4 linked regions of the Drosophila melanogaster genome follow. The protein of the gene in region 1 interacts with the protein of each later gene in a pairwise test. Each region holds a gene or a part of one and is shown in the gene's direction. Other genes may lie near its edges.

What was found.
Region 2: the proteins of bip1 (region 1) and CG6654 interact in a two-hybrid assay, tested with the Drosophila melanogaster proteins (one large-scale study listed by BioGRID).
Region 3: the proteins of bip1 (region 1) and CG17612 interact in a two-hybrid assay, tested with the Drosophila melanogaster proteins (one large-scale study listed by BioGRID).
Region 4: the proteins of bip1 (region 1) and Crk interact in a two-hybrid assay, tested with the Drosophila melanogaster proteins (one large-scale study listed by BioGRID).

Annotation. Positions count from the first base shown.
Region 1 is NT_037436.4:8,053,565-8,060,767, reverse strand, and holds bip1 (bip1), read left to right. Parts: upstream 1-2,054; 5' UTR 2,055-2,307; intron 2,308-2,674; exon of another isoform or gene 2,675-2,721; coding exon 2,722-2,888; exon of another isoform or gene 2,889-3,267; intron 3,268-4,392; exon of another isoform or gene 4,393-4,459; intron 4,460-4,559; exon of another isoform or gene 4,560-4,594; coding exon 4,595-4,892; exon of another isoform or gene 4,893-4,967; intron 4,968-5,328; coding exon 5,329-6,123; 3' UTR 6,124-6,435; downstream 6,436-7,203.
Region 2 is NT_033777.3:15,210,442-15,215,725, reverse strand, and holds CG6654 (uncharacterized protein), read left to right. Parts: upstream 1-2,067; 5' UTR 2,068-2,140; coding exon 2,141-2,260; intron 2,261-2,325; coding exon 2,326-3,463; intron 3,464-3,518; coding exon 3,519-4,180; 3' UTR 4,181-4,449; downstream 4,450-5,284. Other genes in the region: SIDL (shal interactor of Di-Leucine motif), read left to right, coding at 45-387, 636-865; CG4210 (uncharacterized protein), read right to left, coding at 979-1,300, 1,361-1,436, 1,505-1,556, 1,619-1,693; Mau2 sister chromatid cohesion factor, read right to left, coding at 4,470-4,950, 5,009-5,284.
Region 3 is NT_033779.5:4,380,165-4,384,569, reverse strand, and holds CG17612 (uncharacterized protein), read left to right. Parts: upstream 1-1,834; 5' UTR 1,835-1,873; intron 1,874-1,908; exon of another isoform or gene 1,909-1,926; 5' UTR 1,927-1,930; coding exon 1,931-3,787; 3' UTR 3,788-3,848; downstream 3,849-4,405. Other genes in the region: Vps53 (vacuolar protein sorting 53), read left to right, coding at 1-485, 548-1,433.
Region 4 is NC_004353.4:208,130-214,060, forward strand, and holds Crk (Crk oncogene), read left to right. Parts: upstream 1-2,094; 5' UTR 2,095-2,233; exon of another isoform or gene 2,234-2,308; 5' UTR 2,309-2,325; coding exon 2,326-2,357; intron 2,358-2,428; coding exon 2,429-2,551; intron 2,552-3,460; coding exon 3,461-3,665; intron 3,666-3,724; coding exon 3,725-3,853; intron 3,854-3,985; coding exon of another isoform or gene 3,986-4,051; exon of another isoform or gene 4,052-4,145; intron 4,146-4,498; coding exon 4,499-4,600; intron 4,601-4,661; coding exon 4,662-4,886; 3' UTR 4,887-5,036; downstream 5,037-5,931. UniProt on the Drosophila melanogaster protein: Adapter protein which interacts with C-terminal portion of mbc, homolog of human DOCK180. May play a role in cellular processes throughout development.

The DNA of each region.
Region 1 (7,203 bases):
GAACAACAAATGTCAGGATGGCCGAGTGGTCTAAGGCGCTGCGTTCAGGTCGCAGTCTACTCTGTAGGCGTGGGTTCGAATCCCACTTCTGACAAGAACTTTTTGCCATTTTTTCGTTTTATTTTTTGAGCTACAAAAATAAAAATTTCTAAAATCCAAAGTATTTTACAATTATTAAATCAAGAATATACTCTCTCTTGACCAAACTGGAAATTGGCACTCGTTAGTTTAACAGTCAGGATGGCCGAGTGGTCTAAGGCGCTGCGTTCAGGTCGCAGTCTACTCTGTAGGCGTGGGTTCGAATCCCACTTCTGACAATACTCTTTTATTCTATTTTCCACAATTTTTTTCTAATACCAATTAAACTATTTTTACTTGTGCTAAACACACACTTCTTTTCAGTTTTGAGAATGAACCGTTTCAGTATGTGGTCCCCAACCAAAAGAAAATTTGATCTTACGGCTCTTGAGAGTCAGGATGGCCGAGTGGTCTAAGGCGCTGCGTTCAGGTCGCAGTCTACTCTGTAGGCGTGGGTTCGAATCCCACTTCTGACAAAGATTTTTTGTCCAATTTCATTCAGCAAAACGATTAATTTTTCCAACTAAAACTTTTTTTGCCCCTCACAATGATCACCATTTGTTTGGAGCATACATTAGATTGCTTTAACGAGCCAGCTTCCCTCTCAGGGGCGCCAGAAAAATTACAAGTAAATCAATTTGTAACCGCCTAATTGTCAATATTCCAATCACATAATCGGCTGCCAGTTAACGATTGCCCCCGGCTGTCGGGCAGACCGACAGATACAGCGAGACCACACAGGCGATGATCAAGCCTGGCCCCCTTGGGAATTATCGCCGTCTGGCATCGCCTGCAAACACTTCTACTTCTACATTCATCGCCAGCTCGAGTCATTCGGCTCAATCAGACAGAAATTAAAATGCTGACTGAGCGCGTTTTCGAATGCGGCCCACTCAGTAGTTTGTGTTTTCACAATTGTTCTTGGGAAAAAACAGTGCAGGTCCATCCGTAATTATGCTGCTGTTTGTCGGTCGTAAAACGCAATCAACTGGCCACGACAATTGACAATTTGGCTAGTGTAAAACTAGCCATTAAAGTTTTATTTGCTTTAGCACTTGAGAAATTGAGGCTGGCCTGGCCATAACAGGCGAATGGGTCAATTGGCATGTGACAGCAAGAAGCTGCAAGCTGCAGGCTGCAATTTCCACAGACAATGCAAATTGACGTCTTGGAAATATGAGTGATGTGACAAGTGGATGCTTATCTGCGGCTCGACGCCCCTGTTTTTTTTCGAGGGGCTTGCCTCCTTCGTCTGATGAGCGCCCATTGAAATTTATGACTTCGTCGAACCGCCAATTGATTGGCTTTTAAATATCCAAATGAAGGCTGCCAATCGCGAATTGTGCGGCCGTAATTAATGTACAAAAATCATTTGAACGCACGCCCCAAAGCAACACCTGCAGCTGTTGGTATCTTTATTTATGGAAAGCTTTTAACACTTTTAATTAATTATGGGATGGAAAAGTTGGCGGCTTAGCTATGTTGCAAATTTATGACACTACAAATTGATAATTGATAAGCAAAAATGCTATCTAAATGCTAATTTCTCGAAAAGCATATAAAACTAGAGTTAAGTGGTATTTAAGTATTGCAATGTACAATTAATATATTATATACAATCAACTACAAGGTGCGTAATTGAAAGGTGCGCAGACATCATATTATTAAGTAGTAGTTGAAGTATTATTTTCTTCGATTTGATACATATTCATTGCGCAGTACTTTATTCTTTAAAACACTATTATTTTAAATATGACTCATTAAAATAATAAATCATAAAAGAAATACCTATTTTTTAATGTCCTTCAATGGTAGTTTTTACTGTGCGCGATTGAAATCTCAGCCTGATTCCGAATTTGTCAGAGCTTTCCGGCGAAGATCTCGCACGCATGGGCACAAAGCTCGACAAAGCTGGAGAGACGCTCTCCAAACCGAGCTTCGCGCGGTGCCTTCGCGTGACGCAGGCGGAGCTTTCGACAGTCTGCTCCCACGAGTGACGTAGCGCAGTATAGAATGCAGAACGTAACAGAATCGTAATCGGAGCCGCATAGCATACCGCTAATTAGAAGATAGATGCCCTTTTCATTTAATCGTATCTAGCTGCGATCGCTTAAACCGGCGCCAATTGTATTCAAAGTTCCGTAACCGAAAGCTTTCACCTAGAGTTCTTGCCGTGGGGTTATTAAACTCAGAACTGCCGGTCAGAGAAAAGGAGACTTTGTGTGACAGGTGAGTTCATTATGTACATATGTATCTGTTTTCCTAAGATAAGCATAGGTAAATAATGGCGATGTGGGGTACATATGTTTATATTTAATTTCAAAGTATTTTGTAAAAGGTAAGACCACGCGGCTTTGAAAGGCAAGCACAAGTTATCCAAAAAAGCTTTTCCGTGGATGTGCATCTTATTGGTGCTTTTCTACGTGCAGCAAAGCAAGCTTTTATTCGCCAGAGCGAAAGTTCTTGGGGTCACTCTAGGTTTTCTTTTATTCCAAGAAAGAAAATAAGAAAATAAATAAGATATATGTATGTACTTATTTTAATGGTTTTCTAAACTAGAGCTTATTAATAAAATGATAAAAGAAGCAATAACCTTAAATTAAAATGAGTGATTTTATCCAATTTTAAAATAATATTTGATAGATGACGAATACGATAACCACTCTTCGGATTTGCCAGGCTGTGTCGCTAAATCCTAGCGCGAATGGGCCGGAACCAGTATTGCCACCTTCCTCCAGGATTTGTCTGATGGGTTGCCAGGATGTAAAGCCCAATGATCTGCGTCGTTTTCCAGTCCACGATACCGATCGGTGAGTATTATACACATACATACATACATATGTAGGTTCCTCCTGCCAAGAACCACATTAAACCTGTTTTTAGAGCCTACGGAGAGCTTTCCGATCGATTCGATCACCGAAGCTTGTTTTTGTTGCGAATCACAAGTGCTCATTCTATATTTTAAACACCATACCATTAAAGCCATAACAATCCAAAGCTTTGGACCCCGCTCGGTGCTCCTCTTCTTCGTCTGATACCGATACCGATACTCGCAGTCAAAGGTCATTGAACTTTCGCCCTCCCTCTCTTTCTCTGTCTCTGTCTCTCTGTTTTTTTCTCGGTTCGCATAAAAGTGCATCATTTTCATAGGAATATTTCAATGCCATGGCGGCTAAGAACTTGTGCAGTGCAGCAATCAGAAATGCAATAATGCCGATGTGGGCGGGGCAGTGGGTGGGCGGGGGATAGGTCCCAGATTCCGACTCCCATTTATTTATAGCTCTCACGCTCTCCTGTAAATGCAACAAATGCGCGTGGGGCTCTGCTCTGCTGGCCGTGAAGTGAAGTTATTTTGTGTTTCTTTGCTGCTTCTTCATCTCCAGTTTCTGCAGTTGGTGCGCAAAAAAAAAAAATAGAGTTCCGTCTGCCAAAGTTACTTGGCATTGGCCATGGAGTTTAGAGTGGACCACTGTTAAGCGAATTCTTCCTCTTTCCGAGGAAACCCCAGAATGTTAAGCTTTATTTATTATCAAGGAAAGCTCATATTTTACCTTTCGTCGGTATTATCACTAAATGTACTTTGAGACCAAAAAAGTGAAAGTCACTTTTATAAGCAAAATCGAAATAAGAATGACGTTTGCTAAGTTTAATTATAATAGTTGGTTATCTAACTGTAGTCATTGAGTTCCGTTTAAAAATTTTCAAGATATAGTATGAAATTTTAAAGTGAATTATGACAATAATTTTAATTTCACACAGTTGTACGTTGGTTTTGTAAGTTAAGCATAAACCATTCTTATGAAAATGGTTTCAAGCGATTAAAATTTATTTAAAACTTGGCTAGTAAGTCAGATTAAATATGGTATGAGTAGGCAAATGATTTTGCTGTCCCTGACCTGCACAATAATTTCGCATTCGGTCCACCCTAAAGGCCTTAATTGTTGTTGTTGTTTCGCCTAGCCATAAGCATAAGGCAAAAAGAAAATAAGCCTCATTCCCCCATCTTCCACAAATCGGCAGAAACAACAAAAATAGGGGGAAGTTGAGCAGAAGCTGCAGCAAAAGCAACAGCAACAACAAACAATAACAATTCCCCGCGAAACTTCCGCTGAGCGAGAAGGAGCGTACGAAAGCGTTGCTTCTCGTTCGCACTCGCAAAAGAAGCATAAAAAGAGCTTAATTGCAGCGAAAACTTTTTCAAGAACTTTTCCAAGAGAGAGCGATAAAGAGAGCGGAGAGCGAAAGTCGGATCTAATTTGAAAGCGTCGCAAGAACCAGAACGAAACTCCAATGCAGTTTCATTTTGTCAGTTTAATCATTAAACAAAGAACTGCGCAACCGATCGCAACTAGCTCGTGGACTCTTGTTCTCCCAATAATTGGTATGTTTTCCATTTTGCGTTAACATGGAAAATGTGTGAAAAGCTTTTTCCCCCTCCAAAAGAAGCGTACTGAACTAAGCTTTCGGTGGTTAGTAATAGTAGTCGTTATATCTTATTTTTCTTATTTACGTGCAGCTGCAATCATTGGCTGCGTCACTTTGGCGTCAGCTATAAACTGGTGGATCAACTCGGCGGCCTCCAAAAGCTGCGCATCTGCTCCAGACACTTTAGCCAACGCCAGGAGATGGCCAAAACCCGCATCAAGATGACGCCGCTGCGCAAGTCCTCGTCCTCCAAGGGCATTGTGCTACCCATTAATGCCGCTGGAGGGTCGGTCATTGCAGGCGCCTTAGCAGGAGGAGGAGGTGCAGGAACTGGGAGCGGTGCTGTCAAGTCGGCGGTGGCCAGCAGCACCACCATTGAACTTGTTGAGGTGAGTGGCAGCACAAAAGAAAACAAAAGTTCAGCTTTCATAGGGGTTGGTAATTGACCCAAGCTAAATTTCAGTTCAGACAGAAATTATGTTTTAGACTCCGTAACGCAATTTTCGTTGTTTATTAACCAATTGAAATAAATCGTATAGGTATTTGAGCATTAAATGGTATTCCAAAAACGGGCATGCTATTAGAGTTAGTTTAACAACAATACAAGCATGTCTTAAAAAAATACGTACAAAGCTATTTATTCCGTAAAAGTTTAATTTTTTATAACGAATAGCGACAGATCCTGAACTTTTAAAATTTCAGAGAACCCTTCAACGTTCTTTCTCTTTAAATTTCATATTTTAAAGATATGGTTAAAACTGCTTGTATGCATATATAAATATATACCACTATAAATGTATTTTAATGAACCGCATTTTTTTGCAGAGCCCCAATAGACATCAGGCCAAGAAGCCCAACACCGGCATTATGCCCATGCCACAGCGTTCCCACTCCATTAGCTCCTCGGCCTCCAGCGATGTGCTGTCCATAAACTCCGACTACGAAGCCTCGTTACCACTATCAGCCTTAGAGGATTCCCAGAATGGACTGAACCGCTTGGAGAACGGTCAAGCCAAGAAGAGGAAACTGTACGTGATCACCGAAAAATCGGATGAGACGAAAGGTCAGACTCTGGAGACAAATGGACAGCCCAAGAAGCGTAAGATGTTCGTGGTTGTGGAGCAGGATAAAGATGTGGCGGGCAAGAAACTAATGATTATGGCCGACAAGCCGCAGACCAATCTTACCCAGCATTTGGAGAAACTACTGCCCGAGCTATTGAATCGCATACAGGACAAAGAACAGAAGCAGATCAAACCAGCTCCAGTGGTGACTAAAGCCAAGCCGGTGGTTAACAATCCCAGACCACATATAACATTGCCGCCCAAAAAGAATCCAACTAATTTTGCAAAGATCACGTCCACACCAAGCTCAGTGCCTTCATCCATTCAGATGCCACTGCCAATTCAGAATACCAAGATCCTAAAGTCCGAGAATTCGGAACTGACAATGAATTCGGATGAGATCGAGACGAACATAAATCTATCGCCCGACTTCCGCTTCCTAATGAAAATCCTACCCAAATTGGAACAGCTGCCCGAGCCCCACAAGCAGAACGTGAAGCGTTCCATCCAGATCTTCGTGGAGAAGAGCTACAGTATTTACGGCAACAAGGATTAGTTATCAGTATTTTCGGGCACAGCGTTTATTTTCCATTTCATGTGAAGCAGTTCCCTTTATTTTCGTACATACACATACATACATCAAAGGCATTTCATAACTTTGTGTAAGACTGAAGCAGAACCAATTTAATTTCTAAGCCAATTGTAAGAGCTGAAGCAGCTCCCCATTTAGACATGTAAGCTTATCAGAAATTTGATATTACCCACCTGGAGATGGGTAGATTTTGTAAAAGTTGAGCCATAAAAACGAATTAAGATTGAATTTCTTTCTATATTGAATATATGAAAGCTTGATTTAAGCCAGAAAGATAAACCGTCTAAGAGTCTTATTTTTGGGATAAGAAGGTATATAACGAGGGGATATTACCACGACCCACAATTAATAACACTAGTGTTTTTTTCTTATCTTTTTGGTTTTTTTTTTTTGCATTGTAATTCCAAAGAACTTTATTTAGTTTGAAAGCATTTGTTTACGGTTTCTCTTCTTCCATATTTCTTTCTTTTTTTTTTTTAGTTACGTTATAATAATATTTAGTAAGTCTAATGCGGTTTTATTTAGTGTGGTTTAGTTTAGTTAATACAATGGTTAGTGTGTCTTTACGATTTCCATGTAAATTATGCAGCTTCACTTCGTCCTGGAGAAAGGATTGCATTTGGTAATTTACAATTCTTGCCGGCCCATTTACCACTACACGTGTATGTTTTGGGTCTCAGTTTCGTTTTAAGTTAGTATATCCGATTAATGTGGTTAATACATTACATATATACAGTTAAACACTTCATGTTTAATTTAGCTTGCGGGTCAAGGAAACCAAATTATGTGTAAAGTATTAGGGAACTTTGTTGCGTGCCTTTACTGGATGAGGATTTCTACATGATTGGAGTGACTCCATTTCGAGTGCTACATTATAATCGAGTAATATATACTTTTTACAACATTTAGCAAATTTTCCCGTACACATACAATAACTCGTATATCATATTTTTGCGTTAAGCATTTGCCATCGATTTTTTTTTAGAGGGTATAGGGTGTGTTTTATATGGTTTTAAATCGTGTTTGTTAACTACGTTTTGGAGT
Region 2 (5,284 bases), on another chromosome or scaffold:
AATTTAATATCTAAAATTGCTGATCTCCTGAGCTCGTCTTCTAGGAAATCTACAAATCCCTGACTGTAACTTATCTGTACGAGATTCAAGTTGAGCCCCTCAAAACGGAGCACGAGCTGCCCGTCGTAAAAGTGCATTTTGTAATCAAATACGCATCACTGTCGCAGCCTGATGTGTGGAGAACGTATGGCTGCGCTTTTGATCTGGTGGACTACACAACGCTCTTTAAGTTGCAGGCGCAGCTGGAACCCAATGAACTGTGCCGTCTGCGCACCGTGTGCAACATGAACTTGAAGATCACCAAGGTGCATGAGAATCCCTACACGGATCTCATGTACGAGGTGCTCAACGATCAGAATCTGTGGGCCGTTTGCGGTCGCTCAGCGGGTAAGTTGGATTCTCTTTACTACTCTCTCTCTTTCTTTGCTTATGATTTAATTCTGTTTCTCTACACACGATTCACTTTTGCATTTTAAGATATGGGTAAGTTCCTTGGAATAGGACACACGTAGCACTAACTAGATTTGCCCTTGCTTTTGATTGGAAACATTTAACACTGAAAAAGAAAATTGGCTTACTTCGATGAACCAACAGTCTGTACTTGTTGACTAACTAATTTTTACTTAACCTTTTAGGTGTCGTATCCATGAAGGACGTCGACAGTCATTCCATATCGCTGGATGTAATGCCGCTGAGCACCGGCTTTCTACCAATGCCCAGCATTCGATTATCCAAGTATACTGCCGGTGGCAAAAGTAAAACCGATGGCCACTCCAAGGTGCATCCCTTTCCGCCCGGTCAAGTCTACAACTCCACGAAGAGCATGCAGATCCATGTCATCGCAAGTGTGGCGGGGGATCAATGAGAAGCCAAACGAATTAATTGCAATGTACTCATAGCACATATGGCCCATGGCCAAGTATTATTAATTATTTATCGCCCTACTATAAAGTAGTAAAAATTGAAAATCAAATCAAGTTAAGATTTTTTTGCCCTCAGATCCGCGGCCAATTTGGCCAGTTGTTGCTCCTCCACGCGGTAGTAGTGCCAGCCCTCTTTATCTGTCAAATCCACGGCACCAAGACTTTCGTAGAACTTGCGTGCAGGATTCCATTCCAGTACATTAAACTCCAGGCGAGGGCACTGAAGCTCTACAGCCCGCGATGCAACCTCCAAGAAGATTCGCTTTCCGGCGCCGCGTTTACGGTGCTCGGGGCGGACATAGATGTCCTCGACGAAGAAGTACCGTCCCTGCCACGTTGAGTATGCCTTGTAGCAAATGGAGTACCCAATCGCCTGACTAGAATAGGAGAACAAGCCCACAAGTTAATCAGGTCATGCCAAGAACTACAGCACTTACTCAGTATCGTTGTCTACAAGCACATAGACTTCACAATACTCCTGGCCACCAGTGAGTCCTGCGTCTCGTTTAAGATCTGTCATATTACAATCCATTACTTTACCATTATTTCATTACTATGGTAAGGGTTTCGCCATCTCTTACCTTCCTCTGTTAGCTGGGGACCATTGCTCATCTTCTCAAAGTCAGCCAGTTCCTGCAGATCAATTCAAAAGTATCTCAAATTGGTATTAAAATAGGAATCTTATAAAACTCAACTTGAATCATGGAGAGCACATCTTTAATATCTTCAGCTAGAGCACGCCGGAATGTAAACTCTCCGGATTTCGACATAGTGGGAAATCTTTATAACCTGTGTTTTTCTGATTATGGTCAAAAGAGCTTATCTTTTGTCGAAACAATTCTAATCTATAGAGATGAGCCGAACTCTCGTGATCACAATTTAATATAACTCAATATCGATTGGGAAAAGAATTATTTGTTGTTAATAAGTAAAAAAATTAGATGAAACAAGAATAAGCCCAGATTCTTGTATATATACGATTCACATTTGAAATAATTTTATTTCAATGCACTTATCGCCATAAAATTAGATTATTTAATACTCTTCTTTACTCATTAGAATTATTTTTTGAATTGCGCGAAGGCCGCCAACAGCATTAAAGGTGTGACCAGGTGCACTTGAAATGCATCGGTATATTCAGCGTAACAAACTTCAGCCATACTGCATTTATTTAATTGTTTTATTTTGTTTCTGCATTTGACCGATTGCGTCGCGAAATGGATGTGGACAAGATCTGTCTTACCTGCCTGAGTTCCACGGGACCACTCCTGTCCATCTACGACGGCGGATCCGGCAGCTGCCTGGCGGACATGATCCGGGAGTTCACAAAAACCAAGGTGAGTTGCCTTCGCCGAGTGATCCTGATTTCCATGTTAATCTCGATTTAATTCGCGTTTTCAAGCCCCGCCGCAACGATAATCTGCCCGAGAAGGTGTGCCTAAGCTGTTTGAGTGAAATCTCCAATTGCTATACCTTCAAGATCAAGTGCGAGAACTCCAGTCGCACCCTGCGCCAATTGCTGCCGAATGCGTTGCCGGAGGAGCCCGATAGCAAGGTGTCTATCAGTTGTCCAGTGGCCACGACGGACCAGGCTGTGCAGACCACTAGCTGGGAGCCGGACAGATGCACAGCCTCCGTGCAAACGGACGCAGTGACTACCACAGACGCCGAACAGAATACCAGCCTGATTAAGTCAACGATTTCAGTGGACCTGGACTACGAAGGCGAGGGCGAGGTATTCGATTACGAGCTGCCGGATGAGCCCGTCGAAAAGACCACCAGCCTCATCCTGCAGGTCCAGGGGAACTTGAAGGACGAAAAGGAAGTTGTGTTTACCCAAACCAATGTTATTTACGAAGGCGACGACCACGAGCTGGAACAGCAGATCAGGGAATGTAACCTGGCCATCTTCGAAGGTGTCGATAACGAGGCGGAGATCATCACAGTAACCGCTCCGCAGGTAACCACCAGAAAGAGCGCTGCCAAGCTTCTAACGCAGCAGGAAAACGATAAGCATCAGACTCCTGTGGGTTCTAAGGAGGAAGCACGCGAATTAGAGAAGGAACAAGTACCTCAGTCGGCTAAGCGCACCTCACGGCGTCGCGGAGTTGTCAAGCAGGATGTACCGGCTACACCGCCGTCAGATGCAGAGCCTTCCCCCAAACAGCATCGGTTAGGAACACAGCGAAAACTCAGCGCGCCAAGAGCGGGAACAGTAAACGGGCCAAGCACAACGTCAGGAGCAGCTACTACCCCTGAGCTCAAATATCACTGTGATCGTTGCAATGCGGGATTCGCGGTGGAGAAATCGTTGATGATCCACAGACGCCAAAAGGGCTGCATTAATCGCAACTACAAGTGCAATGAGTGCGAAAAGGTCTTCGTGTCGCCGGATCACTTGGCGGAACACCAGGCCAGTCATGGTGCCCACAATTGCCCGGAGTGTGGAATACGCTGTGATTCCAAGGAGGCACTTAGCAAGCACATGGTGCAGGGCCACAAGCGGAATCTGCGGAATCAGTGCAATATCTGTCAGAAAGGTAAGATAACAAAGAGTGGTCGAAAATCCTATTTAATTGTCTCTTAATATTGTAGTATTCACCATGCTGTCCACGCTGCGTGACCACATGCGCATCCACACCGGCGAGAAACCCTTTGTGTGCAATATCTGTGGCAAGAGCTTTACACAGAATGCCAATCTGCGCCAGCACAAGCTGCGTCACTCGGAGACAAAGAGTTTCAAGTGCGAGCTGTGCCCGCACTCGTTTGTTACCAAGGCGGAACTCACCTCTCATGCACGCACCCACACCGGCGACAAGCCCTTCGAGTGTGAGGTGTGCTTGGCCAGATTCACCACTAGTTGCTCCCTGGCCAAGCACAAACGAAAGCACACTGGCGAACGGCCATACGCCTGCGATCTCTGCCCCATGAGATTCACTGCCCTCAATGTGCTAAAGAACCACCGAAGGACGCACACAGGTGAGCGGCCGTACGTCTGTCCCTTCTGCTCGAAGACCTTTACGCAGCGGGGTGACTGCCAGATGCACCAGCGTACACATCAGGGCGAGCGGATCTACATTTGTCCGGTGTGCAATGAGGAGTTCAAGTCGATGCCCGAGATGCGATCACATCTGGCCGGCCACGAGCAGCACGACAAACGCCTGGTGCACTTCACATTTCTAAGCAACAAGGAAAACGGAAGCGGGGCCCTTGAAGAGGAACTTAACGAGATGACCGAGTCTGCGCTTATGCTATAAATCAATGTAGAAGCTGTGCAAGCAAGGCGGCTTTTGTAAAGGTGGTTGAGTTTGCCTAATACCCAAGACGGATCCTTACTTTTAATTGTAATAATGATTATAATCCTAAGTTGAACGACCCAACTCAAATGCGCACAACTCATCCGCTTTACATTTCCGTCTACTCTTTCCCTCGGGAACACAGTTTATGACAAAATTCACAACTTTAGAACATCTTTAGTCTTAACTTAGTCGCTAGGTCGTAGATAAAAATAAAAGCTTAAAGTTACATTGCATAATCATCTCATTGCTAGTAGAACTGACCGTATTGCCCCGCCGGCTGCATGGCTGTCGATGTGGAGGCGATGACGGGGACTGAGGCTGTAACGGAGGACTCTGGCATGAGCAGGACGGGAGCAGCCGGCGGACCACTCGTCACTGGCGGATCGCCCTGGAACCAGTTGACGAGTTCGTGATGCGCACTTTGGACGCACTTGCGCTGGTCTGCAATCAGGTTCTCCGAGTATTTAACGTGGTTAGCATAAGCATCTTTTTCATGCTGCACATCCTTTGACATACGATGCAGGTCCTTTAGTATTGCCGATCCCCACAGCTGGACGTGGATGTCGGGTATCTTACTGGCCAGTTGCATGGCCGGCGTCACCATGTTCATGCTTTCCTTTGAGTTTCCGATGCTGAGAAAGACGTGCGATAGCAAAACCAACGAGCAGCTGGTCAGTCGGTTGAGGTCTTCGGCGTTGGCCATTTTCAGAGTTTCACGCAGAAAGCGTCTGAAAAGAATAAAGATTATCAGTTTACATTCTAGAGTCTTGGCTTAAGGTGACTAACTTCGCCTCGTGGAAGCTATTTTTGTGAAAAGCATGCAGTCCCTGGACGTAGTAGAAGCCTCCCATCAGCGCTTGACTGCTATACGTGTGCGTGTTTTCCGTTGAGACGGCATCCAGGATTTGCTTGAGGTCCGTGTCCCGCTTGGTGCGCAGATAAATGATCGCCAGGTTGAGGTTGGCAAACAGTTTCAGGTCTCGCTCGCTGGTCTCACTCACGCACACGACGAACTGCCTCTCCGCATGCTCAAAGAGGTTGGTGGACATGGAGTAGAGCCCG
Region 3 (4,405 bases), on another chromosome or scaffold:
TCTCGGGAACCATACAAGTTCGCCGAGGCCAAGACCACCGTGTACCCCAGCTCTGGTGATCTATTCGTCTTTTACAAGAAGTGCATGGTGCAGTGCAACCAGCTAAGCAACGAACAACCAATGTACGATCTGGCTTTGGTGTTTAAAAAATATCTACGGGAGTACGCCTCCAAAGTGCTCGAGGGCAGCACACCCAAGCTTGTGCCAGCCACCACTAGCAGCTCGATCGGTAAAAGTGTTTCGTTACTCACGCGCGATATGCAGAATCTATCAACGGCCGCTGGTCAGGTGTTTCACAATTTCCTCAAAGAGGGCGATACGCAGCGATTTGCAAGAGATGATCTGGTGCGCATTTGTTGCGTTCTGACCACGGGTGAGTACTGTTTGGAGACGGTCCAACAGCTGGAGGATAAACTGAAGGAAAAGGTGACTTCTGCATATGTCAGCAAGATTGACATGAGCGAGGAAAAGGATGTCTTTCATAGGTGAGTAAAAATTTTTGCTATCAAATAATCAAATAGTTTATTAATATTTGTAACTTTTCTAGAATCATTTCCAACTGCATCCAACTTTTGGTCCAAGATCTAGAGGCTGGCTGCGAAGCTTCGCTGCAGGCGATGGCCAAGGTGCAGTGGCAACACATTAACAACGTGGGCGACCAGAGCGCCTTCATCAGCAGCCTGTGCGGTAACTTTAAGCAGACAGTGCCTACCATCAGGGACACGCTAGCCAGTTCGCGGAAGTATTTCACCCAGTTCTGCCATCGCTTCGTCGCCGCCTTCATACCGAAGTTCATCAATGTGCTCTATCGCTGCAAACTAACCCTCTCGGATGGTTCCAACAATGTTCTGGGCTGCGAGCAACTCTTGTTGGACACCCATTCGCTAAAGACGGCTTTATTAGAGCTACCTTCCGTGGGATCGAGTGTGAACCGCAAGGCGCCCACCAGTTACACCAAAGTTGTGGTCAAGGACATGACTCGGGCCGAGATGATCATCAAGGTGGTGATGACGCCGGTACAGCCGCCGGCGCACTTCACTCAGCAAGTGCTTAAGCTGCTGCCAGACATTACCATTGCGGAGTACCAAAAGATTCTGGATATGAAGGCGGTCAAACGTGTGGATCAACTGCAACTGATTGATCTTTTCAAGCACACGGCATCTGCAGCGGCTGTGAGTGGCTTAATAGAGCCAACTACTGGAGAGGAGGAGACCCAAGGTGCAGAAACAGTAGTCGCAACTTCGGGGACCACAGACGATGCTGAAACCTCAGCAGTACCAACTGAAACAACAACGGCAACTTCCTCAACCCCCAAACGAGCCTTTATCTTCAGCGTGGGCAGCTTTACGGGAAGCGCAGATAAAAATGCCGATGGAAGTTCCCAGACGGGCATCAGAAAGCTGGAAAACCTACTGAAAAAGCGCTTCCCCTAGTTAATATACGGCTACATCTTGAGAAATCATTCCACTAAGTTAGCTTTAGTTTGACAATATCGGTTAATGATTAGTTGCTTAATTTATTAGGTCTATCCGGTTTATATGGTTGGTATGTTTTAAGACAGCTATGGAACATTCGATTTTGTATTATTCGCAATCCATCCGCCTATTTTAAATATTTTTTATTAAATGTCTGGCTTCTGTTAAACAAAATGGAAAACGTTTGTTTTTGTTTGCTATGGAAAGCACCTGGTATTTATTGCAAAGATAAAGTAAATACGTACATACATGAATTTGTAAAATTTGTTTCGTAAAGGGTATATTTTAGTTATAACAGTCGATTACAGCGTTTGATATCGATAAGCGCTCGATAACAATACGCTGAAAACAGGGTTGCCCGTTGTTGATAGCCCTGAAAATTGTAAACAAACGACTAGGTAAGCCACAAAAATCATTTTAACCAACGTTTTATACGATTAAATGATTCCAGGGCGATGGAGAACGTGTGTCAGTGCTGCAAGGTACGACCGGGCTTGTCGGTCAAACGCGGTGGCTCGCTTCCGAAAACCCTTTGCCTGCAGTGCCTGCATATGGACACATTTGGCACCAAGCATAAGGGACCAAGGCCCGAAACCCAAATTAACGACAAGGTTCACTTAGAAATGTCCATAAACGGCGAAGACGGCCTGCCGGAGCATCCTTTATATCCAGAAGTGCAACTGGTAGTTAAGGAGGAGGACGCTCTAATTAAGAAGAAGGTTATCGAGGAAAACCACATACATAATGAGGAGATCATAGGAGCGAGCAACATAGTAGACGTAGAGGTTCATGAGAATCATCGCGCAAATAACGACGTGATCCTCATACAGGATTCCTTCGCTGAGGAGGTAATTCTTGAGGATCATCCCGCAAATAACGACGTGATCATCATACAGGATTCCGTCGCTGAGGAGGAGCTCCCCGTAATTAAGGAGGAGGCTATTGAAGGGGAGGACTTGCAGGGAGAATACTTTATAATAACAGAATGTCTGGAAGAGCCAGCAATCGGAAGCTGTCGCGTTTGCTTGGAACAGTCTGACAACTTAACCAATATATTTGATGACGCGCATCAGTACGGAATTCCGATTGCCACGATACTCTCTCAGTACACAGGAATGCCAGTTGAGAAAGGCGATTCATTTTCTGAATATATCTGTGTAACTTGTCTGGATGTTGTGAAAAATGCATTCGATGATTTAGAGTCTAAAGAAAATACTATCCAGATGTACCGACAACCTAAAGAGGAGATCATTGACATAGATTCAATTCCAGTAAAAAACAAGCCAGTTGATTATGAAGTTACTGGGAAGCCACCTCACAGATGCCCTCAGTGCCCAAAGATATTCTTACTCGCCGCCAAACTTCAAGCTCACATTCGGACTCATAATGAAACGCGTACCACCGAGCCTCCACGGCTGAAATGTCCCATGTGTCCAAGTATATATATGAAACGCGGATGTCTTGAAGCCCATATGTGGATTCATAGGGCCTCTGATGAAAGAGAATCAGAGTTGGAGCCTCCGTACAGGTGCCCTCACTGTCCAAAACTGTTCCTTTACTCCAGCTTTCTTGAAATTCACATTCAGACACATGAGGATGTCTCTCAGAGACTGTCTCGGAAGTCATCGCACAAGTGCGCGCAGTGTGCAGATGTATTCTCAGACGTGTCCAGCCTTAAAGACCACGTAAAAATCCACGCGGGGGAACGAACGTTCAAATGTCCCCTCTGCCTGATGTCCTTTCAAGAAGAAAGTAACCTAAAGAGTCACGATTGTGCTCACACTCGTTTCAAGTGCCACAAGTGTTCCAAGTTTTTCGAAAGTCAGAATTATCTAGATTTTCACTTCAAGAAAAGTCACACGACGAAAGGTCCGTTCAAGTGCATAAAGTGCCAGCAAACTTTTCAAAAAAGAAACGGTCTTAAAGAACACATCAGTTCGCAGGTTTGCGTACAATTTCTCCGGAGTAAGTCTCCTGGACAAATATTCCCTTGTCCCAAATGCCCGAAAAAATTTAGCATAGAAGACAATTATCAAATGCACCACGCCACTCACAAGAAAGTAAAGACTGTTATCGAGAGGCACAACTGTACACAGTGCAAAAAGTCCTATCAAAATAAAAAACTTCTTACCAAGCACATTTTGAGTCACAACCGGTGTGTCCACTGCTCGATGTCCTTTACGAGCAAATATCTTCTGGAGCAGCACACTTGTTCCCAGAGTTACCAATTAAATGGGAGCAGGGGTCGCAAAAATCCTAATTTGAACTACAACGAATGCGAGGAGTCCAACGAAAGTGATTTGGAACCATAGCATAAATATTATAATATCTATATAAGAAAACCCCCACAAGCAAATAAACAGAACCAGTTTGAATTTGTATTTTGTTACTTCATTTATTGTATGTTTGACTTCTTAGCTTTTAAACATAAACTTATTTGACTATGTTGAAAGTTGGATTCTCATGTTTATGTTCGCGTTCATGGTACTAATGACTTATGCGTTCGCTTAGGCAACTAACTACGTGCTACAACTTAAACTAGGTTTGCGGTCGCTGCGGCTGCTCCGAATTTAACACTATTTACATGCAACTTATGGTCTAAGTGATTTTGAGCGTATGGTCTAGTTTGAAGATCTTTTGAAAGTGATCGCATCGCGCGCAATAATACAAATCTCTAAACAAAAGACTTAAGACACAAACTTAGGCGTACTTTAATGGATGAATTGTATGAGCTCTCAATGTATTTCTATGCGTAATTATGCTTTGGTTTAATTCCAGCACTGCAAAAACCTAAACAAATCGAATATGACTATGACGCAGTGGCCCAGCGGACGGCATTCCAAGGCCAGTTAGCGCCTGCCGGCCAACATCGCCCGAAGCTGCCGCTGAGACTGAACAGGCTAGACTACGCTAGGCTAGAGGGGATTTAC
Region 4 (5,931 bases), on another chromosome or scaffold:
TAGAATAATTCTATTGTCTTTGATATTACTTTTGCAATTTAATTTAATTGCATATTTAATTATTTAGTATATTTATTAAATCATTTGACTTAATATGATGTAACATTAACATTAAAAGTGTTTCAAAAAAAATATTTCGCTTTTAAAAAATTGTCAGATGAGAGACAAATTAGAATTAAACATAAATATAAATGTGTAAACGGTAGCTAATTCGAGCGGCGATTTTAACAAACAAATTTAAAAAGCTTTAAAATTATAATATTCAGGGCGCGAATTTTTAAAAATTTTTTTATTTTATCATATTGCTAGGAAATTGGCAAAAACTACCCTAATATGTACCATGTAAATTCGTTTCTTCGATCAGAATTGATTTCGGCCCGAAAATCGTCTTCTAGCACAACACGCACACTTATACGCGTTCTCGTCTCTTGTTTTTACTCACACAAGCAAGCAAATTATATTTTTAGATTTCTTACGCTCTCAGCGGGAGTGAGCCGAAAGAGAGTAATTTTGGCCGTCACCAAAAAAGTGGCTGCATAGTGCCAAACCAATGTATGGCCGTTACGCATCTTGTTATTCTAGTGTCTTTGGTTTGGCACTATGCAGCCACTTTTTTGGTGACGGCCAAAATTGCTCTCTGTCCGCTAGCTTACGCTGAGAGCGTAAGAAATCTTAAAATAGAACTTGCTTGCTTGAGTAAGTAAAAACAAGAGACGAGAACGCGTATATGTGTGCGTGTTGTTCTAGAAGACGATTTCGGGCCGAAATCAATTCTGACCGAAGAAACGAGTTTACATATTTGATGAAATTGCGCGCTGTTAAAAATATCAAATTGAAATATAACAAAAAAAAAAAAAAAAAAAAAAACTGGAACTGAAAAACAACTAAATCTAATGTGCATTTTAAATAACAAAAATTTTACATACATCATATTAAGTCAAATGACTTGAGAAATATACTAAATATATACGGAAATTATTATAACAACTTTAATTTAAAACATACATTTTCCAAAAAGAAGACATTACATTGAGAAATAAATATTTCATAAAAATAATACGAAGTAGAAAACAAAAATATATAAAAATAAAAAAAATATGTAAACTGTTTATTGCAAAAGTCATATCATAGACACTAGAATTATTCTAGTGTCTTTGCTTTGGTCATATCTTGAGCATGCAAAGGAATGGCTATTACAATATAATTTGATTAGTATGCTACGCAAACCTCTAGCATTTTGATAGGAAAAAGATTCGGACAAAGATTCGTTGTCAGTTTTTTGAAGAAGATGAAGAGGCGGATGGTGCAGTGGTCTGGCCATGTGAGGAAAGTTTATTTCCCACGGGCCCCTTTTTCCTATTTTTGATCCTAGCTTCAAAATCTTATATATCTTATGTCCATAGCGTAAGATAAGTTAAATTTTTCCACTTTTATATTACTTTTATATTATCGACTTTTGTTTTGTCTTGCATATAAGACCATACATCAGATGATTTTTGATCAGGTGAAAACCGAGAAACGAAAGTTTGTTTCTTAAGTGGAATCACCGCGAGTGGTTTTGGCCCTGCAGATTGTATTTCTGAAGTGCCAACTTGTGCCGGGAGTCCGGACTCAATGTTCCCTTGTGGTGGTAAACTAATCGGGACAGGTAGAATCACTGGTTAAGAAACCAGTGCAGACAATTCGGAATCTTTAGCAATCCCAGGGTGGGCTCCCTCCACAGCGGATTGATCGGATTGCTCCAAATCTTATTTAGCTGCCGATCTTAGCAACATATGCGGATTTTCTACGATTGACAGCTGATCAGTTGTGGAGTCAAAATAACATGTCAACCAGATATATTCGTATTCCTAATATTCCTGTAAATATCCTTGAATTGAACAGAAGAACAAATATATCGGTTTTACTTAAAAATTAGAATATCAAATTGATATGCATTGATCACGGTTTTACATTTAGATTTTAAAAGCTGACAGTACGTCCTAAAGGGGTTTACCACCACAGAGCAGTTGCTCGAAGGAGTTCTTTTCAATCGAATGTGCCCTGTGCAAGTGCCGCATTACGGTTCTACGGTACAATATTGGCATAAAACTTCCAAGTGGAAATAATCGATCAAACATTATCGATAGTGTTTCTATGTGTGGCCCAGCCAGATACACATATAAAAGGCAAATGTTTTAAGGCCAGAAATTCGAAAATGAAATCACTGAAGAATTCTGGTATATAATAGGCTGTATGCTATATTTGCATTATATCACATAATTTCTATTTATTTAATCTGGACGGAATTTGTTGTAATTTGTCTAAGATAAACCTTAAACGGAAATGGATACATTTGACGTTTCTGATAGGAACAGGTAATTTAAGATCAAGTGAAGATTAAACCAAAAACTATCAATTGTTTTAACATCAAAATGTGTTCTTAAAGCTGGTACTTTGGTCCCATGTCTAGACAGGATGCTACTGAAGTTTTGATGAACGAACGCGAGCGGGGAGTGTTTTTAGTCCGTGATAGTAACTCGATAGCAGGGGATTATGTACTTTGTGTAAGGTAAGTAAACAAAATTAATACATTCAGACTTTGATTGTGTACTTATCGTTTCATTTCTGTTAGCTAATTTTTATTTTAAAAATTAAACTAAAAATTGTGTATAGTGAGAAATACTTAATGTCAGCCTTTCTTAATCGCAGCTTACCATAAAGGTTTATATAGAAATTCCTGTTTCCATTTTAAGCATGTATACGTGTTTTATAGATGTACTTTAAACATTTATCTGTAATTTTTAAATATAAACAAATTTCTTACATTAAAAAAGGATATTCTTTTTAATAGACCTGGGTGAAAAAAGTAATAAGAAAGAGAAATCTAAAAATTTTTATCAATTTTGTGTGTTTCAGTTTTGGGAAACCTTAAAAATTGTGTTTGTTTTATTATTTCTTTCCCAGAAAATTTTTGAAATTTCTCTTTCCCATTCAACTAGCTGAGTAACGGGTTCTCTCTTGTTTTGTTTGATATTTAGATCCAATGGCAAGGGTCTATGGTCAATTTTGTATTTCTTTAATTTAGTATGGAATGTACCTTTAAGGACGATGATAAAATGTCAATGATGATCTCTCATAGCCATTGCAATTTAGTATGTTTTTAATATGTGCGCCATGTATTGACGGGGTAAATAAATTGAAGAATTTAACGACGTAAACAAAAATAATTACGAATTAAAGGAACTCAATTTCTACTGTATGTCTCGCCACGCGGCATTTATTAAAGAATTAGATGAATAAACGTCTCAAGAATATTCTTTTTGATTTTAAAAGTTCTTTATTAATATAAATGTATATACATTAGAATATTAAAAATAGGTTTTCATATTTAAACTTGAAACAAATTTTTGTTTAGTTTTTAAGGATTTTGCGCCTGTTATAAAAGAATTGTTTACTTATAAAGATTTTTATTATTTAGAGAAGATACAAAAGTTAGCAACTACATCATTAACAAAGTTCAACAACAGGATCAAATCGTTTACCGCATTGGGGATCAGTCTTTTGACAATCTACCGAAACTCTTAACTTTTTACACTCTTCATTATTTGGATACAACCCCTTTAAAACGGCCTGCGTGTAGAAGGGTGGAAAAAGTAATAGGAAAGTTCGATTTCGTTGGCAGCGTGAGCATTTACACAATTATTCATTTTTGTAAGTAATTTAATTTTCTTATTTATCAAAGGATCAAGATGATTTACCTTTTCAAAGAGGTGAAGTTTTAACAATAGTTCGAAAAGACGAGGATCAATGGTGGACTGCGCGTAACTCCTCGGGGAAAATTGGTCAAATACCGGTTCCCTATATACAACAGGTGCGTTAAGCAAATATTTGGATTTGTTATCCTTTTTTGTAACGGGTAACCCGTTTTTAATTTCTTTGTTTCCTTATAACGCTGATGTTAAAATACTACACTTGAAATGAATGGTGAATTCGGTAAAACCAGTCGCGTCAATTTTTATGGAATGCAAATAAAACTTTCGATACGGCGACACTAACGCTAGGATATTAATAATGTAAAATCAGAAAGAAACCCGAAAACTAGTGAGACGTATAAGGGTCAATAATGTCAAAGAGTCGCCAGAAGTAAATATGTAAAAATATATGTATGTATGTAAAAAATGTAAATTGAGCTCTTTTCCCCACGCCTATTTTATGACTAGCGGGTATCTGATAGCCGAGAAACTTGTTCAGAAATAATTATTGAGTTCATGTAATAATACCCTTAAATTGTTGCGATTAGATTCTTTAAAGTCTGACTACAATCTCAATACATTATAAAATCCATTACAAAAACCATTTGCATTGAATTAAACTGACAATGGACAAGCTCCATTGCCTTCAATATATTCGTCCGCTTAAATAGAGAAGGCCAAATTGCGAACGACCTTTGATAAATAAGTTTGTTAAAGGCATTGATTTTTAAAAGTTAAATCATTTTCAAATTTGTTCTTTTCAGTATGACGATTATATGGATGAAGATGCTATTGATAAAAACGAACCTTCCATTTCGGGATCTAGCAATGTATTTGAAAGTACTCTTAAAAGGACAGATTTAAATGTAAGTGTTCCAAAAAAGTATTTAAAAAAAAAATAATGTTTTACATTTTAATTTATCGAAGCGAAAACTACCTGCATACGCCCGCGTAAAACAGTCAAGGGTCCCTAACGCATACGATAAGACTGCATTAAAATTGGAAATAGGTGACATTATTAAAGTCACTAAAACAAACATTAATGGGCAATGGGAGGGAGAATTAAATGGAAAAAATGGTCATTTTCCCTTCACGCACGTTGAATTTGTCGATGATTGTGATTTAAGCAAAAACTCCACAGAAATATGCTAAATAGGAAGGAATGGAAGGAATTTCTTTTGATAATTTTGATTTTTGAGCTAATTGTATGATTAATAAGTTGTGCATACCAATTGTTAACATAATCAGAAAATTAAAATCTTATTAAGTAAAATAAAAATAAACGGGTACGAAGGACATAATAAAATTTTTACCGTTTTTTCGTATGATTCTTATACAAAAAAATTATGAATTTGAAAATCGATTTGGTTTTTTTTATGAATTGTGTAACTAAACGGTAGGTGCTACAGAAAACCCTTTGGGCCTTATATTTTTTATACCCGTTACTCGTAGAGTAAAAGGGAATACTACAATAGGTTCGTTGAAAAGTATGTAACAGGTGGAAGAAAGCGCTTCTGACCATATAAAGGCTGTTCAATATACAAAGACCCCAAAAGCCGGATACATCTCCGAGTAACGCCAGAACGCCAGAAGTTTTTTTATCACCCGCAAAGAGGTCCTTATTTGGCCCTTCGACCACCTTCCAAAATTTGATATTTCCAAACGTCCATAATTCGAGGCTAACAGAACCTACCTCTAAGGCACCAACTCTACAAGCTGCCCAAACTAATTTGACGTCGAATCCTTAATCACCGACGCATCACCAACGCAGTATTAAAACTATGACATATACTTTGCAGCATCATATGATTTCATTCATGTCGTTCGTGTGGATTATCACGCAAGACCTATCTTCCTGGAACGTTAAAATAATGTGTATCTTTAGATCAATAGTTAGTTAGTGCTTCTCCTGATACCACGTTCCGAGAGCACCTAGAGTACGCCCACAAAAAGGCCAGCGCTACTACTGGTTCTCTGCCGAGAATGCTTCTAAACACGAGAGGTCCTAAGCAAACCACTAGCTACCACGTTGATAACGGGCGACAAAGCATTTTTGGGCGGCTGAAGGGCGTTAGAGTGGCCGTGGCAAAAAGTTTTTTGGGAAATCGATAGAAAATTACAAGACTAATCAAAATATTTAAAGAATATCAACACACTTTTTCAAAAGTGCGGGCGTGGCAGTTTTGCGCGGTTTGTA